2 linked regions of the Oryctolagus cuniculus genome follow. The protein of the gene in region 2 purifies or fractionates together with the protein of the main gene of each other region. This does not show direct contact. Links are inferred from orthologs where the notes say so. Each region holds a gene or a part of one and is shown on either strand. Other genes may lie near its edges. The genes, in order: SIRT3 and HSPD1.

The links.
Region 1: the proteins of HSPD1 (region 2) and SIRT3 purify together in Homo sapiens (affinity purification with mass spectrometry; 3 studies listed by BioGRID and IntAct, counting the BioPlex papers as one, with this or other methods). This does not show direct contact. The link is inferred for Oryctolagus cuniculus from reciprocal best matches to the Homo sapiens genes HSPD1 and SIRT3.

What each region holds. Positions count from the first base shown.
Region 1 is NC_091432.1:24,812-29,324, forward strand, and holds the start of SIRT3 (NAD-dependent protein deacetylase sirtuin-3, mitochondrial), read right to left. Parts: upstream 3,014-4,513; 5' UTR 2,998-3,013; coding exon 2,943-2,997; intron 1-2,942. Other genes in the region: PSMD13 (26S proteasome non-ATPase regulatory subunit 13), read left to right, coding at 3,925-4,019.
Region 2 is NC_091434.1:42,767,438-42,771,239, reverse strand, and holds part of HSPD1 (60 kDa heat shock protein, mitochondrial), read right to left. Parts: intron 3,088-3,802; coding exon 2,835-3,087; intron 2,410-2,834; coding exon 2,327-2,409; intron 1,423-2,326; coding exon 1,327-1,422; intron 1,015-1,326; coding exon 921-1,014; intron 90-920; coding exon 1-89. UniProt on the Homo sapiens protein: Chaperonin implicated in mitochondrial protein import and macromolecular assembly. Together with Hsp10, facilitates the correct folding of imported proteins.

The sequences.
Region 1 (4,513 bases), on a different chromosome or scaffold from region 2:
GTGATGGTCTTCCACAGGACTAAGCACAGACACAGTAAGCACTCACAAGTTGCTTTATAAACTCAGCCCCAGGACCGCAACAGGACACAGAGGCAGCACGAATATCCCGGCGCCTGCAGCAGCTCCTGAAAGGTCCTGCTGAGGTCTGCGGCCAGAGGAGACAGGAGGTGCTAAACGGCTTCTTGGGGCTCAGCTTTTGGCTCGGAGGCCCTGGACTGCACCCCGTCTTCACTCCTGGGTCACCAGGGCGACTTGCCCTAGCTCAGGACCCTCGCAGCCACCTCTGTCTTCCAGCACAGTGCGCCTCCGCCACGGCAAGTCCGTCTGCAGTGCGCAGCCCCCTGCAGCAACGGGAGCCCCTAACCCTCACCTCAGCAAGTAAACAAGGCCTCCAGGGAGCGCAGACACAAAAACGGCACAGCACAAGGGCACACCTGCAGGTCGTGCTGGGACACTTGTCGGAGACAGGAACAGGACGCCTCTAGGAGGATGACCACGGGCACTTCTGTCTGCTCTCCACCTTCTGGTCCTTACGGGATGGACACCGCAGTCTCCCGGTGAACCAGTCTACCTCACTGCCGCTGCGGTTTCCCCCAGAGCTCTGCTCCCCACGGGCCCTGGCATCTCAGCCGGCACGTCCACCTGGTGACAGCTTCGAGCCTCCAGGACTGCCTGCTCTGCACCCCATTCTAGCACACAAGGCCCCCCTGATTTCTCTGCGTCCCCTAAGTCCTCGTGTTCCCAGGCCCTTTCCCCACCCAACACTCTCTGCTTGAACAGGCCTTGGTCCACTCAGCAAGTCCAAATCTCACAGAACCAAGGCCAGGATCCAATGCCAGCTCCTTGATAAATCCCAGTGAGAGGTCCCTGGCCCTCCTCCCTAAGAGGACAGTCCTGGCTCCCGTCAACCTGCCTCCCACTCAGGCTGGGCCACCGACAGTGTAATCCAGGCACCCATCTGCCCCCACAGACCAGGGGGCAGCCCTGAGGTGGGGCCTGTGAGGATGGAAGGCACACTCTGCAGGAGGGGGCGCAAAAGGGGTCGGGTCCCTCCAGCGCCCTGCACCTCAGCTGTCACGGACAAAGGCAGGCAGACGGGGTAACTGCTGGTCTCGCTGACAAAGACGACAGCGGTGAATCCCCCCAGAAAGCACAACCAGCAGGGAGGAACACGCCTCCCTCTGCTCATCCCAGGGGCGCGAGGGGGCCAGCGCGGTGGCGCAGCGGGTGACGCTGTGGCTTGCAACACCAGAGCACAGGATCCAGTCCCAGCTGCTCTGCTGCCAGCTCAGCTCCCTGCTGGAGCGCCTGGGAAAGCCCGGGAGGCCGGCCCACTACCTGGCTCCCTGCCACCCACATGGGAGACCCAGAAGGGCTCCAGGCTCCTGGCTTCAGCCTGGCCCAGCCCCAGCCGTTGAGGCCACTGAAGACTGACAGTGGATGGAGGGCCTCTTTCTCTGTCCCTTGCTGTCATCCTGCCTTCCACGTACACAAAGTGAGCTTTTTATAAGAGGAGTGCGTGAAGCACTTCAGCAAGGCACCTGCCCTGAGCTCGCGCAGGGAGGTCTCCAAGGAAAACCGGCAGCCGGCGGGAGGGGAAGCCCCGGCTCCGCACCGCGGCCCCTCCCCCACTTGCCACCTGGCAGCAGGCCGTCTGTCTACTCGAGGGCATTTGCTGAGCTCCGCCCATATGCAAACCACAAGAAACACAGGGAGCGGACACCCAGACCACGGCCGTGTGCCCGCTGCCGCCTGGAGTTCCTCACTCAGGCACGTGAGGAAAACGGGCGGACGACTCGCGGCCGGCACCTTGCTCTAAGGGTAGTGGCCGGAGGCGACCCTGAGAGCCAGGCACGGGTGCCAACTAAGAGACGCAAAGGGACATCCACGCCAGAGCCCCACAACCTGAAGCTGAGGACCCAAGTTCCAAGAGCCCAAAGGACCGCTCGGCTCTGACGCCAGCGCAGGCAGGGGCACGGCCACCGGCCGGCCCTGCATCAGCTCAAGGAAGCGAGCAGCCGTCCTGGCCGCTGGCCCTTCCAGAAGCACAGAGCCGGACACGCAGTGGGGGCCCGACCCGGCGTCCGGCTGTCTCCACTGCACGCTGAGGCAGACAGCGTCAGAAGGCACTGTCACTCAGAGACACTCAGCTCGGCTCCTGGACAAGCGCCCGGGCGCCATGGCGGCGAGGGAGGTGCAGTGCCCACGCCAGGGGCTCCTGACGTCCCCACCTGGAGCCCCAGGCCCAGAAGTCCGCCGGAAAGCTGGGGTGCACACGAGGGGACTCGTCAAGGGCGGCCGTGGCAGGACAGGCGGGGGCTCCTCCGACAGAACAGGACGCGGTCACTCAGGAACGTCCACACTCGGTTAGCACGGGACCGGTCACTCAGGAACGCCCACGCTCGGTCAGCACGGGACCGGTCACTCAGGAACGCCCACGCTCGGTCAGCACGGGACCGGTCACTCAGGAACGTCCACACTCGGTCAGCACGGCCGTGATCAGTCACTCAGGAACGCCCACGCTCGGTCAGCACGGGACCGGTCACTCAGGAACGTCCACACTCGGTCAGCACGGCCGTGATCAGTCACTCAGGAACGTCCACACTCGGTCAGCACGGGACCGGTCACTCAGGAACGTCCACACTCGGTCAGCACGGGACTGGTCACTCAGGAACGTCCACGCTCGGTCAGAACAGGACAGGTCACTCAGTAATATCCACACTCGGTCAGAACGGACGCGGTCAGAACGGGACCGGTCACTCAGGAACGTCCACACTAGGTCAGAACGGACGCGGTCAGAACGGGACCGGTCACTCAGGAACGTCCGGACACCCGCACGGCGGCATCGAGGACGGACCCCAGCCCCCAAACGCCCCGAGCAGCGCGCACCCGGACGCCTCGGGGAGCTCGGCGCCTCCCTCTGGCCGGCCCGGCCCGCTCACCTATCGGGCCCCACAGCCTGAGTGCGGCCACGACCCGCTGGCTCCACAGCGCCATCTTCCTCCGCGGCCACGCGCGTCCACAGGATCACGCACTGTCGGCCCCTTTCCACGCCCCAGCGCGCCCTACGCCGCTGCCCGTCCGCGGGCCCCGCCCCTCTGCGTCCTGTCCCCGGCACGTGGCCACGCCCCCTTACGGACTGCCCCCTCGCCGGCGCTTGGTCCCGCCCCTTTACGTCCCGTCCCGCCCCGCCCGCGGGCCCGCCCCTTTAGGTGCCGCCACGCCCCATCCGTGGGCCCCGCTCCTGCGCATCCTGCCCCCTCCCCGGCGCTTGGTCCCGCCCCTTTACGTCCCGTCCCGCCCCGTCCGCGGGCCCGCCCCTGCGCATCCTGCCCCCTCCCCGGCGCGTGGCCCCGCCCCGCCCGCGGGCCCCGCCCCTTTGCGTCCCGTCCCCGGCACGTGGCCACGCCCCTTTACGGACTGCCCCCTCGCCGGCGCTTGGTCCCGCCCCGCCCCTGCGCATCCTGCCCCCTCCCCGGCGCGTGGCCCCGCCCCGCCCGAGGGCCCCGCCCCTGTGCGTCCAGGGAGAGACGGGCGCTGCGCTGGGCGGTCCCAGCGGGAAATACTCTGAGCGCCTCCTGTGGTCATGCATTTCCTTTACCCCGGGGCCTCGCCAGACGCCCCTGGGAAAGTACTGTCCCCATCCTCGCTTGACGGGGGAAACCGGATCCCAGAGCTGAGGCCGCACGGCCAGGCCGACCCCCGGCGCCCGTCCTCGCCCACGCCTCAGCGGCGGGTTCCGCTCCGAGGCGAGGCGGCGCGCGGTTGCCGTGGCAACAGCCGCCTCCGGGGAGCCTGGGGCGCTCCCGGCATGCCCCGCGCTACGCGGCGCCGGAAGTGAGCGAGCATTTCCGGCCGCCATCCCCACGGTCCCGGTAGTCGGTTGTAATTCGGTGTCGGGCTCCCGTGCGTGTTCTCGTCGTCATGAAGGACGTGCCGGGCTTCCTGCAGCAGAGCCAGAGCTCCGGGCCCGGGCAGGCCGCCGTGTGGCACCGTCTGGAGGAGCTGTACACGAAGAAGTGAGCGGGGGCTGTGGGCGAGAAAGCGGGGTACTGTGCGGGGTCCGTGGAGGCGGCGGCGGCGCCGTGCGGGGAGCGGACACGCGCCAGGCTGGGCAGGACCCCAGGAGGCGGCGGCGCCGTGCGGGGAGCGGACACGCGCCAGGCCGGGCAGGACAGGACCCCAGGAGGCGGCGGCGGCGGCGCCGTGCGGGGAGCGGACACGCGCCAGGCCGGGCAGGACCCCAGGAGGCGGCGGCGCCGTGCGGGGAGCGGACACGCGCCAGGCCGGGCAGGACCCCAGGAGGCGGCGGCGCCGTGCGGGGAGCGGACACGCGCCAGGCTGGGCAGGACCCCAGGAGGCGGCGGCGCCGTGCGGGGAGCGGACACGCGCCAGGCCGGGCAGGACCCCAGGAGGCGGCGGCGCCGTGCGGGGAGCGGACACGCGCCAGGCTGGGCAGGACCCCAGGAGGCGGCGGCGCCGTGCGGGGAGCGGACACGCGCCAGGCCGGGCA
Region 2 (3,802 bases):
AATTTCAAGAGCAGGTACGATGGATTGGACACTAGATATTTTCTTTTCACTCAGCAGAACATAGGCATCTTGGAATTCACATTTCTGACCTACAAAAAGCAAACAAAAAAAAAAAACAAAACAAAATTTCAAACCAGGAACCAGCCTCATAGAGTAGCAAGTAGACTCCACCTGGGACGCACGTATCTCATATGGGTACTGGTTCATGCCCCAGCTGTTCCACTTCCAATCCAACTCCCTGCCTGGAAAAAGCAACCCAGGTACTTGGGCTCCTGCTTCATCCTGACTCAGCCTGGCTGTTGTGGCCACCTGGGAGTGAACTGGTGGATCAAAGATCTCAGAGAGTCTCTCTCTTTCTAACTCTTGACTTTCAAATAAATACATCTTTAAAAAAATTTTCAGGGGCCAGTGCTGTGGTACAGAGGGTTAAAGTCCTGGCCTGCAGTACTGGCATCCCATATGGGCTCCAGTTTGAATCCTGGCTGTTCCATTTCCAAACCAGCTCCCTGCTAATGCACCTGGGAAAGTAGTGTAGGATGGCCCAAGTCCTTGGGCCCCCGCACCCATACAGGAGACCCGGAAGAAACTCCAGGCTCCTGGTTTCTGATCACCTCAGCTCCAGCCATTGTGGCCCTTTGAAGCGTGAACCAGCAGATGGAAGACCTTTCTGTTTCTACCTCTCTCTAACTTGTCTTCCCAATAAATCTTTTTTAAACAATTTCAAACTGAACAATGCAATTTATTTACACAGAAAACTTTCAATTCGAAAGTGATCAAGAAGTTCATGTTTTCCTTCTTTATTTCTTATAATTACTTTTAGAACACTTATTTTTTAGAGGTAATGCTACCAACTAATGCCTATAGCTTGACGTACACTAGCAATGTACACTTAAAATTTTTAGTTATTGATTTGTTCTTACCTTTTGATGTATTAATAAAGTATGGAGAAATATAGCCTCGATCAAACTTCATGCCTTCAATAATTTCTAATTCATCATTCAGTGTTTTCCCATCCTATGAAATGCCAAAGAATTAGGTATGTGGATTTCACAGAAGAGACACCAAACTTGCATCCAATTTCACTTCTACAAAAGCTCCAAAAACTCATACTTGAAAAAATTCTTACAGCTATATAGTTAGCAAAAATTACTACTAACTGGATCAAAAAATAGTAAACAGGGCACTTTTTACATGCGTTGAGATTATATATGAAGAAATGAAGTATTCACTGAACATTCTATTTGAACCACAAATGGACTGATTTTGTTTGGAACGCTCAGTTTTGATTACTGGACGTTTCATTCAAGCTATCAAAAACATACTTGCCTTTACTGTGATGACACCTTTCCTTCCAACCTTCTTCATTGCATCAGAAATGATGTTGCCAATTTCTTTGTCTCCATTTGCAGAAATTGTAGCAACCTGAAACAATCAAGTCAGTCTTTAGAATCAAACAGTAAGGCTAGGGTCCTCGATTCACAACCCTTGTCCTAGTAACTTTCAAAGTAATAATTCCATTTAGGGAGATTTTATGATACAACAGTTTCAACCAAAATATTGGCTCTCTGTACAATTCTTTTTAAATTCATTATTTGGCTATATTATTTTGAGGAGCACGAAACAATTCTTTTAAACAACAGCAGTTAAAAAAAAAACATGCTGGCATCTCATTTTTCCTCTGTAAATGTGTGATATTAAAACTAACAAACAGGGGCCAGCGCCGTGGCTCACTTGGCTAATTCTCTGCCTGTGACGCTGGCACCCAGGGTTCTAGTCCTGGTTGGGGCGCCGGATTCCGTTCCGGTTGCTCCTCTTTCAGTCCAGCTCTCTGCTGTGGACCCCAGAGGGCAGTGGAGGATGGCCCAGGTAATTGGACGCCTGCACCCGGTATAGGAGACCAGGAGGAAGCACCTGGCTCCTGGCTTCAGACAGGCCCAGCACTGGCCGTGGTGGCCATTTTGGAGGTGAACCAACAGAAGGAAGACCTTTCTGTCTCTCTCTCACTGTCTAACTCTGTCAAGTTAAAAAAACAAAACAAAACAAAACAAACACACTGACAAACAATGTACTTTGGACAACAGCTAAAAACATTTTCATGTATGCTCAAATCCATTTTGCGGTCATACAGAACTAACAAGATAAATCATCGAGATTCAAATTATAGTTACTGAATTCTTTCAAATGTTTCAGCAATAAGTAAAAATGACTCCGATGTTGGTGACTGAGTGCTGCTGCTACTCGATACTGGTGTGACGATTATGGAATACATTGCCACATGTACTAAGTTTTCAAAAAACTATTATTTTAATATACAAAAGGTCCTTACCTGAGCAATTTCTTCAGGGGTTGTCACAGGTTTTGACTGCTTCTTAAGCTCAGCAATTACAGCATCAACAGCTAACATCACACCTTGTTCAAGAATATGAGTACGTCATTACAACAGTTACTCTCACATGGCTTCCATGTTACATAGATTCACAATATTGTTAATGCCTTAACATTATGTCTATACACAGCTTCTGTGCTAGTGCCATTGCTAACTAGAGTTGAATGACATGCAGTTAACAGTAACTTTAACTTTACACACTAAGTAAAGACACACAGGGCCAGAACAGCTTTGGAACTTGACTAAATAAAGGTAGATGTGTATAGTTTCAAGAATTTCACTACAACTACTCCCACGTCGTTCCTAATCTAGTCACATGGCCTGCCGCTGAAAAGGGTCACCCAACGATTTACCTTCATTATATGATGCACAAAAAACCCAAAATGGGCAACCCTTACTTCCAACAAGTGACAAGATTTTGTCATGGCTGTCGCACATACATCCTTACCTCTTCTGATTTCCACTGGATTAGCACCTTTGCTAATCTTCTCAAAGCCTTCCTTGGCAATAGAGCGGGCCAGCACAGTAGCTGTGGTGGTGCCATCCCCAGCCTCTTCATTTGTGTTATTGGCAACATCTTGAACAAGTTTAGCTCCAATATTCTTATATTTATCCTTTAAGTCAATTGACTTTGCAACAGTCACACCATCTTTTGTTACTTTAGGGCTACCCCAACTCTGTTCAATAATTACTGTTCTCCCCTGTAAATGCACAGGAAAAAATGTCACATGATCTCATATGCTAAAAATTTAGAGTTAAAAAATGAGCAAGCTTCAATAACAAGTACTTAAAAATCTCCATGCAGATTCTATCATTTTTATCAGTCCTGCAACATGGTCTCAAGGGCAAATTCATCATGATCCTTAGTCTACAAAAACTGACCTCTGCTTCTCTGCAGAGCAGAACTTTGAATGAAATTATAGGAGATGAAAATCTCAGGGAATAAAAATGTCCTCTTATAATATAATAAAGTGTACAACGCAAGATTAATCACAAGATTCAATACTCTTCACATTGCTTATACTTAAGTTTTGCCTGGCGCTTATTCAACATACTCAGAATAAAGTACTCAGAACTTGGGAGACCCAAACAGAGTTCCAGGCTCCTGGTCTTGGCCCAGCCCCAGCTGTTGTGGGTTTTTGGGAGAGTGAACTAGTGGAAGGAAAATCTTTTTCTTTCAGATGAGCAAGTAAACCCTTTGAAGATTTACTGGAGCCGATGTTGTGGCTGTAAAAGCTACTGCCTGCAGTGCCAGTATCCCATGAGTAGTGGTTCTAGTCCTGGTTGTTCCCTTTATTTATTTATTTATTTGACAGAATTAGACAGTGAGAGAGACAGAGAGAAAGGTCTTCCTTTCATTGGTTCACTCCCCAAATGGCTGCCACGCCAGAGCTACGCCGATCCAAAGCCCCGAAG